Alligator mississippiensis: one gene and its partner. Each later gene encodes a partner of the first gene's protein in a complex. Links are inferred from orthologs where the notes say so. Each region holds a gene or a part of one and is shown on either strand. Other genes may lie near its edges.

Region 1 (7,311 bases):
AACACAAATGTAGGTCTAACTCCTGCAAATTCCTCAGCAAGTGCTCATCTGTCAGTAAGTTACTATTCAAATGAAGAATCCTACTTAAGTGTGTACATAAATAATTGTAGGATCAGAACCTTAACCAAAGCAACACTTTAGGTCACTTTTTAGGGGCATTTAAAAAAAAAAAAAGTACAACACCCCTCTAACACAGGAACCTGAAATAAAAACAAACCATTCTGAAGTACTACACATATTAAAAAAACAAGATGTTTTAATTGAAAACATATTCACCGAAACAGACAGAATATTTTATCAAAGTCAAAATGCCTAACAATTTTGTAAGCATTTTAAGATTATTTTTCTATTAGCTAGCAAGTCTAAGTTACCCTAACCTTGAATTGTTGGGTTTTGTCAGCAAATATTAGTGGCTGCATTTTTGCATAAATGATAGAAATATCAACCTGATCCTGCATAATTATGAACAAACACCTACTTCTTAAAAAAGAAAAAAAAAAGTTAATTGGTACAAAGTGTAACATGTTTAGACAGGCTTACACTGGAAAACTAAAAGTTCTTCCAGTCTGGAATAACATTTATAAATATGCACAAACACAACAGAAGTAAACCAACATGGGGGGAGGGGTGGAGAAGGTAGTAACCAACATATATTCTTCATTGAATTTTTTGGATTGTCACAAGGAAAATCCCTCTCCCCAAAATAATAACAGATCAGATCACAGCCATTTACATAGCACTATAAAAAAAATATGGATCCTACAAGCTTAATGCCAAATTCTATCCTTGAATGCTTGTGTAGAATTTGTGTACAAATCCCATTAACACTGCCGACTTGACCTGAAAAAATAAATAATTTGGGTTTAATCTTAATATTTTACATTGTGAGAAAACTATTGGAGAATGCTTTTTTAAAAGGTACACTTTCAGTATAAGGGACAATACCCACTTTTTTCAAACTTTAGTACTGAAAATAGACTTCCAAAGGAGATGAAAGTGTATTTTTACAACAAAATTAAACTGTAACAAATTAAGCCTGCAATCCTGTCTAGATAGACAACACACAGGCAAGACTGGAGGAAAAATAAACAATTTTGATGTCAGACCTATGGTCAGTTAACTCAGTGAAATGGCACTCTCAACTTTCACAAAGAGCTAGCGCTAAAGACCAACATTACCAAATGTGAGCAGGGTTCTAGGGCTACTCTAAGTTGCCCAACTGACAACACTTTTATGGGATCTGATGTTCAGGAAGTAACAAGTACTCGTTCTTTAGAAGTTGGGCCCTTCCAAATGACATCTTAATTTGGGCACTCCAGCTGTTAAAGTCCTTTCTTAAATTCTCAGATAACTTTAGACTAGCATTAACAGTTAAGGCACAAGGAGCAGATTCTCCTAACACAGAGTTTCATAAGTAAGTAGTTACAACTCTTTAGAGAAGGATGCACAAAACAAAACGTTCTTTCCACCACAACGTCATTAGCTTCAGTGCAACTTCCTGAAAATGAAACCAAAATACCACTTGCGAGACAATGACAAATTACTTTGTGATGTGAAGCATTCAAATTCCCTCGTAATAAAAGGACTGGTACCTTGAAGTCTGGAAGCTTACAACATACCATCAGGAATTCTCCGGGCGAGCAGTGATGCTGTTATACCAGTACTCGAGAAACAAGGACAAGATCTTGCAAACCTTGTTCTATTAACAACAGACAGTGATGAAATGTCCCGTTCTAAGAGGAGACTCAAAGAACACTGCTGCTTGCACAAAGTCCTTCCTAGGCCTAAATACAGGACTTTTGCCATAAAAATCGAAATAGCCGCATTTTGGTTACTATTCTAGATCTATACGCCATAACAGTTTAACCCTCCCTCCCAGCAGCATGATTCCTATTGGCCGGTATGACAGCAAGTCCAATCACCCTTAAATCACCTGGTTGAAGAATAAAGCCCAGCAGCCACCCACCACCACCACCACCAGACTTTAGCACCATCAAGACTATGAACAAATGTTGCCTTCAAGACACCATGCACACTCGGGCAGATGTGAAAATGTGACACCACTGCCAAGTGTCAGCTGGAGAGCAGCAGGGCAGAGATTAAGTTTCTCCAACAAAATAGATTTTTAATTTTTTTTTTTTAAAGTCAAAAGCTGCTATTGGCAATCACCTCCCTGAAGGTGCAGGGGGAGGAAGACACCACGGCTGTACTCAAGTTCTACCCCAGAGGGAAGAGAGCTCAGCCAAAAGTTACCTGTGGCTTCAGGCGGACTTCTCTTTCCCTCTCCCTAAGCGAGGCTGGTTTGGCGAGCAGGTCAGGGCATCCTCCAGCAGAAACCCCCACAAGCAGGGCCCGAGCACAAACCCCTGGCAGTCCCCGCTACCCCCGCCCGGCTGCCGGCACAGGGAGGCGAAGCCCCGTGTCCCCGGCCCGCTGCGGGGAAGGGAAGCGAAGGGCCCGCTCTCAAGTTTGTTCGCCCAACACCGGGACGGGCGGCTCAGCCCCCCGTCTCCAGCAGGAGAGCGCCGGAAAACACCCCCAGTCCCCCGGGCTCGGCCCCTCTCCTCAGCCCGGGCCGGGCTCAGCGGCGGTGGCGGCAGCGACAGCGGGCGCGCTGGGCCCGCTGAGGAGCGGCGGCCGCGGCCGGGCCCGGCGCTGAGCGCAGCGCGACGCGGCCTCCGGGCCCCGCGGCCGCGGCCTGGTCCTGCGCGCAGCGGGCCCGGGGGGCGCCGGCCTCGGGCGCCGCGCGCCTCCCCCCGCTTCCCTCTCGCTCCCTCGGAGACAAAAGCAAACGGCAGCCCGGCGGGCCGGGGCCGCGGCTGGGCCCGGGGCCGTGGCCGGGCGGGGGGCAGCGGCGCGGGCGGGCGAGGCCGGGGCGGCCGCGGGGCCCTCCGGAGGTGGCCGCGGGCCAGGGCAAGGCGGGGGAGGGCGCAGCGCGGAGCCCGCGGGGGCGCGGGGGGCCGGACTCACCGCATGAATTTTCTTGTCCCGCCGATCCAAGATGGCTGAGTCCCCAGCACGGAGGATGCTGGGGGAGCGACCTTTACCCTCTGACCCCGCCGCCGCCGTGACCCCGCCGCTGCCGCCGGGCAACCCGTGTGGGGGAGGGGCGGCGCTCCGCCCCCTGCGCAGCGCGGCGCTGCGGTGCGGTGCGCTCCTGCCGCCCCCGGCCCGACTCGGCTCGGGCCTGGCCCTGTTACAGGCACAGACACACGCACACACACACCGAGGGGGGAGTTGCTCCGTGACCCGGCCCCACGCACACGCAGCCCCGCCGGTGGAGCCGCCTGTCCCTGGTCAGGCAAAGGCAGGGGTGGGCCGCATGTTTCCTCTCATGGGGGCTCCGATCCCACCCGCTTTGGGGCCTCAGGGACCCAGGCCGGAGGCGGCAGGGACAGGCTGTTTGTTACTTTCAGGGGATCAAGGGTGACTATCAGCCGCCCTTAAGGAGGGAGGCCCCTGAGAAAGCGACGGCCAATTCCTTGGGACACAACAGCCAAGGAAACAGGGAAGGGAGCAAGGTCATGGGTTCAGAATCAGGGATTGGGAAAGTGGAGCTGAGCAGAGTGCACTGGACAGTGCCCGGCGGCCCTCCAGAGACTCCAAGGAGCCGGTGGATGCTGCTCAGTGATGGGACGAGGGACAGGAAAGCGGCCCTGCAGTCCCCGTTGGCTAAGTCAGAAACCAAATCTTTTCGTGCCCGGGCCACTGGTCCGATTGGCCACCTTGTCCCATCCGGCACCTGAGGCAGATGCTGTCAGAGCGGTTTCGGGGCACCATGTAGTTTCTCTTAACTGGGGCACCCAGGAGGTTTTTCACATCACAACCTTCAAGCTTGGCTTAAATAACAAGGGCCCAACCCTCCAGACCCAGACAGGTTAGACGGGTGATTCTCCAGCTGGATGCCACAGCACCCTGGGGTACCTTGAAATCCTTTCAAGGGTGCAACGGGGTGCCACACAGCATTAGCACTGTGAGGCGTGCAGATCCAAACTTGCACAGTAAACCCAGAGGTTTCAAATGGGAATTGGCAGTGTTACGACAAGACTGAACTGTTGCAGTCTTTGTGAGTTCTTCGCAAAGGAAGAATGGCTCTACTATTTTTCCGTCATTAAGAAACACTTGAAAACTAGGAGCCGATATTTTCTGAAGGTGCCTTGAGTTTATCAAAGGGTGTCTCCGGTCTAAAAAGGTTGCCCACCACTAGGTTAGACATAACTAGTGTGAATATTCATGCTAACTTCCGTGGGGCTACAATGGTGCTTAAGTCGGCACATAAGGCTTACCTGATAATAGCTGAACTTCCCCATCCTTTAAAACAAAAAGAATAAAACTCATAGACTATTGTTATTTTAATTGTCATAATTTTTTAATCTGAAGTAGCTGCATTAAGAAATAACACGAGGAAAAAAGGCACTAATGGCTGATTTTTTTAATGTTTTTTTTTTTCCAGTAATAAAAGAGGCTTCATACTTTGTCATTTACTCAGGCAGGTTTGATTCTTACAGTTTCAAAATTGTCTTACTGTTCCAGCTAACAGTATAGAAAGGTAGTTAGCCGTGCTAGTCTAAAGTCTGGCAGAAAGTGGGACAGGGTAGCAATTTGGAGACTTAACTGATTCAAAAACACATAAACTATTGTGTTTCCAATTAAGTAGACTAGGGGCTGGATGAGCAGTGCAAGGTCTGATTGCAGGCTGGATCCAGACAGCAAGCACAATCCAGAGCATGGAGCAGACGCAGCAAGGGCCCATCCGGCCCATGGACCACCCCAACAGCCCAGGTCCATTCTGGCTGGATCCAGCAACCTGGGTGGGGGGACCCATGTCCGTCTACATGGCAACAGACTGACCTGGCTGGGCCTGCATCCAGATATGTGGGGCTTGAAAATTTGGCAGCAGCGGAAAGGTGTAGCTATCCTTTCCTACCACCAAATTTCCCAATCCATGGGGAACTCTGTAAGCCAGATGCCATGGCTCCATGGCCTAGATTTGGCTTGCAGGCAGGAGGTTGACACCCCTAAAGTAGATTTCACCTGCAGAAGCTTTCCTTTCTGAATTAATTAATAATCTCTAAACTGCCACCCTACCCTGCTTCCTGCCTGTTCCAGCTAAGAAACCTTATTGAGGGCAGGTTACCCAAAACTCTACCTTATAAACAAACATTTTAATGTGTAAATAGAAATTTAATATTTGAGGGCAAAATAATACACAATGTTTCTTTAATGACACCTTTTTACTATAACTATACAACCTGGTTTAAGGCCTCCATTCAATTTGATCAGAACTGTTTTTTCTGATCTTACAAGCATAAGTCAGAACAAGCTATCATAGTTCTTTTTTCTGTTTAAAAAATTATGCAGTTCCTAAAAATAAATAAAATAGCAAAAATGTACCTTCAAGGCTTGGAGGTTTATTATTTGTTTGTTTAAAGAAAAAAATTAAAAAGGGAAAAAAATAAGAATCTTTTAGACACCTTTTATGAAAAAATGTGGACTTCTGTTTTTAGACTAAGAGCAATACATGAATCTTCTTAATCTACTCCAGAGGTTCCCGAACTTTTTCGTATTGTGTGCCCCCTTCCAGATTTACCAGCTACCCATGTACCCTTACCAGCATCTGTTTTATATTTTAAACCCTTAAATACCAATTATGATTATAATGAAAATTAAATCCACCAGTTCACAATTTCTCCCGCATACCCCCAGAGATGTCTTGCATACCTCCGGGGGTATATGTACCACAGTTTGGGAACCCCTGGTCTACACAGCTGCAAAATTATTAAAGAGAATTTTTGGCCTTTTACACCCTGAGATTTATTCTGTTAAATTTGAGTTTAGACTTCTCCCCATTCTGCTTACTTTTCACAAGCATTGTTTTAGTTAAATTTCCACAAAAAGAAAATTGATGTAAAGATATGATATCCACTAGTGTGACGCATGTAAACTAAGCATCCAATTTTATATTTACCTCTTTCTGGGCTGGTCCCTGCATCCATTACAAAATTTGGGTTCAAGTGTAAAATGGTATGTACTTGTACAACATTTAGGTTACATATTTCAACAACATTCAGGAAGGAAGCACAAACATTCAGTTTTATCACAGAAAATAATTTCTTTGTTCTACAGATACTACTTGTTAAGTAGCCTAATCAGTCCCAATGTGTGTAAATTAATGTTAATCTAAAAACCTTAACTGCTATGTTCCCTGACTTCCTATCTTTCATTGTAGACCATTACCATTACAATTAATATGTGTATTTGACTTCTTTTTTGGTTTGTTTTGTTTTAGAGAACAGGAAAGTTGTCAGCAATTTAAAAAGACTTTGAAGTTGATAAATAGATAACAACAGACTGTGATTAATGTAGTGAGTTCGCCTATTTGCAACTTCTGCTATTGGCTAAGTACATTTTTCTTCAAGGCTGAAGTCTGTTCTGTTACTAAGTAGCATTTTATTAACTAGGCATGCATTTTAAACCATGTTAGATGAGTGCAAACCCATGTGTAGACATTTCTAATTCAACTGAAGCCTGGTTTACCATTTAGCTTGCACGTGTAAGGCTTTGTCTCCAAGCAAAGGCATACTGATTTGGTTCAGTGTGTGTGTTTCTAACCTATTTAAGGTAGACTGATTCAAATTTGTATGTAGACACACTTTACTGTAGTTTGAAGAGTAGCCTATTTTACAAACTAAATAGACATGGCAAATTTTAAACACATTTTAGTAAACCAAATTTAGTTAAATTGCTGACACACCTAAGTATAAACAAGAAGAGCAGCATTAATAGAAAACTTCTCCTGCCCTTGGCTCTGTGAAGACGCAGATCCACGATTGTCAAATCAGGGCCTGAATGTCTATTTATGTATATGCTGCTCTCCCAAAGACAGGCTTAGGGTGACTTACAATAAAGACCCAGATAAATTATAAAGACAGATTAAAATATTAAACAAAAGTAATATGTATTAGAACAAACGCTCCATAAAATGATCCAAAACTCAACCCTGCCAGCAAAAGGCCTGCCCAAATCAAAAAGGGTTTACAATATTTTTGGAAGAAACATCCAGGCTCAGGCTGTGACAGGCCAGAACAGGAAGGAGTTCTATTTCTGGGAAGGAACTATCAAGAACAAGCCCCCAACATGGTTTGGAAAAATGTGGCACTCATTTGAGTTTTCATTGTACAACCATGGTTCAGCTAGGCCTATGCATCCCATTTACCATGCTGCTCAACCGTATCATTCTACGTGGAAAAATCTGTATGGCTATCCTTGGCCTCAGATATAGACAGTGACAGAAGGACATGCAAACAGGTT
Region 2 (7,162 bases), on another chromosome or scaffold:
CCCACCCGACCACACGAGGAATTCCACCTCAACAAGATTCTCAGAAATTTGAGATAAATGTGTCTATCTGAACAAGTCGACGTGATATTTGAGGCCAAATTATCCTCCACTCTGCGGCTGTAGTGACTGACCATTATGGAGCAGTCCTATTAGCTAACGAGTTGTGACTTGCATGCCTTTTGCCACATGCCAGCAAGAAATTTCTCTCAGCCAAATCGCCCGTGTCATTCAAGCTAGCTAAATCAAAATGTTTACGACCAAATGACCATCTTGTTATTTTAATTCTCTCTCATACAAACAAAGTAATACAATCCCTGTCAGTAAGTGTAATAGATCTCATCTGCTCAGGATTGCCTGCCCTGTGAAATTATGCAGGTATGTAATGAAGCATAAAGTTATCTGTATAAATCCTAAGAAAGTCTATATATTAAAAACGCAGTCAAGTGCCGAGTGCTAACTAGTTTCCCAGCTGTTTGCTCCACGTACTATTGGGCTCAAGCTGACCTGGGAAAACAAACACTTTTTTGTCTTGAGTGACCTACCCCGCTGAGATCCCTTTACTTTGACAGCTTAAATGGTCATTAAAAAGCACCATATTCTTACCATGGCGATGTATCTGTAACTGAGAACAATTTCTCGAATTTTCCTCATCTCTTCTTCCAGATTGTTTGCCCATACTTCACAGATAACCTGGCTGTTCTCTGCAAGTGCTGCTGGCATCTTGCAGGAATTGGAATAGAAGCACCCAATGGCGTGTCTGGGTGGTCAGTATGATGGTGTAGAGCTGCCAGCTCTGTGGCTCAGTCGGCACGCTGCAAGAAATGCAAACTCATATTTATATCCACACCGCTCCACAAGTCAGGACACGCCGGCAGGCACAACCAGTCAAGTTTCTGCCTTGTGGTGTCAGTTCAGCTGAAACATCTGAATTAACATGTTCTTTCTTGCTTCTAACACGTCCTTAAAACAGGCAGTCAAGGGACAAAGGAAAAGGAAACAATTCTTAGTTAGCAAAAAGGTACCTGGGACTACCAACTCCAGCTGAGACGAGCCAATGTTTCTCCTCCTTTTAGGACTGCATTTTAAGGGTAGGGCTTGTTTGCACACATCACTTGGCAACAATTTAATTGCTAAAGTTTTGCAACATTTCTGTTGGCTGCTTCAGGAAACTAAAAGTAGGAAGATGTGCGCTGTCATCTGCAACCCACCGCAGCATGGTCTCGCTGCTCTGGAGAAATCTTAATAGAGAGAAGTGGGGCCAGACAGGACCTCCCGAGGTCATCCTGTCTGACCCCCTGCCCCAGGGAGGGTCATCCTTCAGTCTGTGGAATAAGCTCCCTCCAGACGGGGTGCAATCAACTACTCTGGAAATCTTCCAGAGGAGACTGGACGGTCACCTCACCCTCAGTCCTCTCTCCTACTGGGTGCAAGGGGCTGGACCCGATGATCTTCCAAGGTCCCTTTCACCCCTAACATCTATGAATGCTTCTGTAAACCATGCCGATTAGCACAGCCCTCTCTGAACCATGCCGATTAGTGCAACCCTCTGCAAACCACGCCGCACCATGCCGATTACAGTGCATCCTTCTGAAGTCTGAGGCATGGTTTGGAGAGGGATGATCCTGCCACATCATGCCGATTAGTGCAACCCTCTCCAAACCATGCCGCACAATGCCGATTATAGTGCACTGCTTTGCAAACCATGCCGCACCATGCTGATTAGTGCATCCCTCTGCAAACCATGCCGATTATAGTGCATTGCTTTGCAAACCACACCGCACCATGCCGATTACAGTGCATCCTTCTGAAGTCTGAGGCATGGTTTGGAGAGGGATGATCCTGCCGCATCATGCCGATTAGTGCATCCCTCTCCAAACCATGACGCACAATGCCGATTAGCACATCCCTTTGCAAACCATGCCGCACCATGCCGATTAGTGCATCCCTCTGCAAACCATGCCGATTATAGTGCATTGCTTTGCAAACCATGCCGCACCATGCCGATTACAGTGCATCCTTCTGAAGTCTGAGGCATGGTTTGGAGAGGGATGATCCTGCCGCACCATGCCGATTAGTGCATCCCTCTCCAAACCATGCCACACAAGGTGGATTAGTGCATCCCTCTGCCCGAGGCCTGGTTTGGAGAGGGATGATCCTGCCGCACCACGCCGATTCGTGCATCCCTCTCCGAACCACGCCGATTCGTGCATCCGCCTGCCTGAGGCACGGTCTGGAGAGGGATGATGGTGCCGCACAACGCGGATCAGCGCATCCCTCTGCCTGAGGCAGGACACCCCTCTCCGAAGCGCGCCGCCATCCTACGACCGTAAGGAAACCAGCCCATCCTGGCGCGTGGGGCGAGCAAGCCCGGTCGAGCCCTTTCCGGCGCTCTGGCGACAGCGCGCCAGGTCTCGCAGCACGCACGCACGCACGCACGCGGCGGACCGGGCCCACCTGACCGCTCGCTGTGCCGTCTGCCGGCGCGGGACCGAGGGGGTCGCGAGGATTATTGCTTCACCGCGCGCGGGGGCGGGGGGAAGCCGCGGCTGGAGGACAAGGGCTCGGGGGCTTCCGAATTGAAACGTCCCAGCCCTTAAGGGACAGCTGTCGAGTCGCGTCGAGACTGGCAGACGCGACATTCATTGCACTGCCCTCCTCCTCCTTCTCTCGACAGGGCCCGTTAGGAACCGTGTTAACGAGGTGATACGGGGCTCCCCGGTCTTCAAACGGTCCCCCGGTGCCTCCTGCACCAAGCCTGGCCCACAACCCCCCTCCCGCTGCAAGTGGATCAAACTAATCCGGATTAAGAGCGTTCACACGAGCGGGCCATTCGGAGCGAGGCCTCTCCCCCTCCCCCGCTCAGCACCTGCTAGCTGCGTGCCAACCCGGCTCCTTCCCGCTCCCACCGGGCCCGGCGAAGCGAGAGTGGGACTGAGGGGTAGGCCTCGGGACTGCTCTTCCTGCGGCCGCTCTAGCCCCCCCCTCACGACTCGTCTGCTCCTTCCCCCACGACTCGTCTGCTCCTCCCCACCGGGAGGTGAGCGGTCTGGCGGACTTCCGGCGCGAAGTCCCGCCGCCAACGGAACTTCCGGTTTGCCTCCCGCTCTCTCGCGAGAGCCCAAGTTTGCGTGAATGCGTCAGGTCAGAGGGAAAGACGGGAGGAGGGATTTTGCCGTCACTGCGCATGCGTTGGAAAGCGAGCCTCGTGTCGCGACGCCCTGCCCACTTGGAGCATGCGCGTGGGGAAGAGGGCAATAATGCTGAAGGGCGCATGCGTGAAGTTGGCCGTTCCATTTTTATCCCCCCCCTTCCCTTTTCTAACTCTATTGGACTTTCCCAAGTCTCTCTCTCCAGGCGCTGTTGGGAGAGTCCATGACCCCCTTGGGGGGGGGGTGGAGAAGTGGGAGAATCCATTCACTTATATAGGGCTGTTGCATAAGAGGGAAATTAATTCAGATTAAGCACGTCCACACAGTCAATTCGGTGCTAATCCTGTGCGCTGACGTCAACTCGTTTCCCGGTGGTCTCCGTTTTGTGCAGCCCCCTGCTACGTTACATGTATTGCGCGGCTCCCTGCGCAATAAACACGGACCGGCCACAAGCGCCAGGCAACGATCACGCCCCGAACCCAATCACTGAAACCAGCCGCGCGTGTAAAGCGATTATCACGCCATCGAAACGACTCTCTGGCTCGAAAAATAGCCGGCCGGCACTAAAACACGTGCTCGAAAATTGAAAACGAAGGGGACGTAACGGCTTTTTCTGAGGGCTGATGTGGTCAGTGCCGAAAAAATGGTCCTCTTCATCCACGAACAGCTATTGCAGGAATCCAGGATCTTTTAATCCAGACAACTTTCCTGACTAATTCTTTTTTTAAGTGGGAAATGTCATTACAAGACCGTCGGTACTTTGCTTCAGTAGGGGACACCGCGGTGTTACTAATCGTTGTCCTTTTGTTTGATTAACGCCGGTACTTTGTGAATACAGGCAGTCCTCAGACTCACGACGCGATTGGTTCCTGAAAACGGCGTCATAAGTCGAAACGTAACTCAGAACCGTTTTTCCCCACAAGAAACAATGTTATAAATGGGGAGGTTGGTTCCTGAACCAAGGCCCTATACCCTGTTTTCACCAAAAATAACCTATAATTTTGCACTCGATCAAATATACATGAGTAATACAGCTACATTCATGTATTTATATTGTAAATAGCAATCCTGTTGATTTGGAAAGACTTCCTTGAGGTGACTTTGCTGGACTTTTTGAAGGGCTCTTGGCTGAAGTCTTGTCAGGAGTCCTGGATGCAGGTTTTCTGGAGTCCTGTCTGCTTTCTTAAAGAAAGCATCCAAGGAAGTTTGGACAGATGTTCCCCAGAGAGATGGGCGACGCAGCGAGCTTGTTGGCTGGCGTGGGGTCACATCTGGAACGGGCTGCCAAGAGAGGTGGTGCTATCACCTAACTTGGAGGTCTTCAAGAGGAGGCTAGATAGGCACCTGGCTGGGGTCGTCTGACCTTGGTCCTTTCCCTGCTTGGGGCAGGGGGTCGGACACGATGATCCATTGTGGTCCCTTCCGACTCTACAATCTATGAATCAGATCAAGCGTTATAAAGTCGAAACTGATGTCATAAAGTCGAAACGGTGTCAATTTAGAAACATTATAAGTGCAAAATGTAACTCGAACTGTAAGTCGAGGACTGTCTGTACTTCAAAAATGATTTTAAAAAGAAGACTTTTTTTAAGTGGCATCAGTTGAAGGACTGATGACGGCAGCCAACTAAGAGGTCTGATGTCTCTTTGAGTCCCATTTGGCTTGTATGCCAATGCGTATGGTAAATTCACTATGCTGGAGGTGTATGTTGTCTTTGTTCACTGGAACAGCTCCAGCTCCATGGTACGTATCTTTTGGTAGTCTAGTGGGTGCATCTTGAGTCATCTCAGCAAAAATACTGGAAGTCAAAAGGATGTAACCAAGTTGGCTGCACGCGCTTTGCTGTGAGAAGTTTAATGGGATAAGGATTCAAAGGTGGGGTAGGGAGTGAAGATGTAGACAGTGCACTGGAGTGGTTTCCATTGGCAAGATTTCTGCCACGACTTAGGGAGGTGGAGGGGACCTGGCACGAAAGAACTGTGATGTTTCTTTTCTTTTCTTTTTGTTTTTGAAATAATTCCCTAAAAGTACAAGATGGGAGTTGAACAATCGCTCTCCATCTTTCTAAGGACCCACAGTTGCAGTATGTTAAGTTTCAGTATATCCTCAGGCTTCTTTTATTGTTGAATACAGGGTTTCTATAAGCTTTGAACCATAGCATCAGTATGAAAAAGTCAGCAGGCAGATGTATGGCACATCATAGTAGTTGGAAACTCCTTTCTATACATGTCTAGGTGTATACAATTCCTGACCGCCAGTCTCTTCCATCAAAAAATCATTGGCCTCTTTTTTATAAAAAGTGCTCTCCTAATGGAATGATTTCAGACAGCCTGCTCTTTATAGAGTATCCATTTCAAAAGGACATACATTTTGAAAATTGTTATGTGTAAATAGCACTAGGATGAAGTAGTCTTGGAAAGAAACTGCTCAGTAAAGTGCAAGATTTATAATATACTAAGTTTTTCTAAAGAGAGTAGGTTGAACTGCACAGATAACTCTTCTAAGGTAACATGAGTTCATTCACATGGTACATAACAGTGCAATATGGACTGATAAATACTTTACAGTGGGCAAAGGGCTTTTGCAAAAGAAGATAAACTCATTTTATCCTGCTGCAAAGCCATTTACAGCTGCTATTCTCAGGGTAGCAGGCTGCTTGTGCGTGTTGCGCTCAGGTACAGTTTATCAAACACATAATAAAACTATCATTTGTGTTTCAGTCAGGTTCTATCCTAGCACATTTTTTACATATTGGAAATTGTGTTATAAATTGGATAGAATAAATTAACATCTTTGAGGATGGAGTGGGGGGTTAGCAGATGAAATGAAGATGCTTTTTTGAAGTGTCTAAACAGCAGCATTTTACAATTCTTCTCATAACTGACTTTTCTGGCGTGGGAGTCAAATCAAGTGGAATCAGAGCACATGGCAGAGGTGATATCTTTTATTAGCCCAACTAGATATTTGCAAACAAAATACTTTATTTGCAAGGTTTCGAGCACAATTACCCTTCCTCAGGCATAGGAGAGTGCAAAGATTGTAAAATTGCTCCTAGGTGGAAATGAAAACTCGTATTTCACAGGAGAGTGGTAGGTGTTGTAAGGTCTCCTGGTTGAAGTAGTTCGTTTCAGCTCTCTGTTCTACATTTTACCTTTTTTGAAATGGCTGCATGCTTTTGCACAGGTACTCCCTAAATACACTTTAAGTAGCACTTTGACACCTATTTATATGTAATACAAGCTGTGTATAATATTAGTCCAAAGACAAAAGGCTCATGATTTATCATATAGTTCATTAGGATGCCCTCTCCTCCCTCCAGCAGAGTTAACAGCATTTCAAGCCATGGTGACCCCACAGCTCAGCACTGCCCAGTTTGTGTGTGTACCCCAGATACCCCCACAAAGCATGCTAATTAGCCCTTCCTCATCACTGGAACCAGGTGTTCTTACCAGGAGTCCTGGGATCCTCCAAGATGTAGATGCAGATGAGACATAGGGCATCCTGGTCCAGCTTCACCTCGTGGAGGGACCACTAATCATATGAGAGAGGTATGTTTGGAGCCCTGTTTGGTGATGTTTGCCAGGCCATTAAGGCTGGTGAAGAAACAGGGCTCGTTGGAAATGGAGAAGATAGGCACAGCTCAGCTGTGGGAGTGAAGATAAAGTAAAAAATATATGCAATTTGGTGGCTCACCATGAGATTAAAAAAGAAGAGGTGCTGAAAGAGACTGCACTCAGTGGACACTAACATATATCTTATTCAGATGGGTTGCACCAACCTGTCTTGGTAGTAGGCTCCCATCAGCATGTTTGTCCAATGTCCATGTATTTTATTGGCATGATCAGCGCTGGCTGCATTTACTCAATGTCACAGCTGGTTTCCACTGCTGAGCATACACTGCTTTTAGCAGCAGTTCAAAGATGGACAGTGTGTTTAGTGAGATTTCCTTGCATGCAAATGTAAGACAAGGGGCTTTTTCCCCCGTGCTGACTGGGGGCAAAAAACTCATATTC

The links. Proteins that work in one complex are often made in the same cells at the same time.
Region 2: CNOT2 (region 1) and CNOT8 share a complex: the UniProt entries of both Homo sapiens proteins name them as parts of the CCR4-NOT complex. The link is inferred for Alligator mississippiensis from reciprocal best matches to the Homo sapiens genes CNOT2 and CNOT8.

The regions. Positions count from the first base shown.
Region 1 is NC_081827.1:70,446,922-70,454,232, reverse strand, and holds the start of CNOT2 (CCR4-NOT transcription complex subunit 2), read right to left. Parts: upstream 3,008-7,311; 5' UTR 2,971-3,007; intron 2,354-2,970; exon of another isoform or gene 2,254-2,353; intron 1,700-2,253; 5' UTR 1,623-1,699; coding exon 1,593-1,622; intron 1-1,592. UniProt on the Homo sapiens protein: Component of the CCR4-NOT complex which is one of the major cellular mRNA deadenylases and is linked to various cellular processes including bulk mRNA degradation, miRNA-mediated repression, translational repression during translational initiation and general transcription regulation.
Region 2 is NC_081832.1:77,043,762-77,050,923, reverse strand, and holds the start of CNOT8 (CCR4-NOT transcription complex subunit 8), read right to left. Parts: upstream 3,005-7,162; 5' UTR 2,867-3,004; intron 2,731-2,866; exon of another isoform or gene 1,023-2,730; intron 813-1,022; 5' UTR 721-812; coding exon 604-720; intron 1-603. UniProt on the Homo sapiens protein: Has 3'-5' poly(A) exoribonuclease activity for synthetic poly(A) RNA substrate. Its function seems to be partially redundant with that of CNOT7.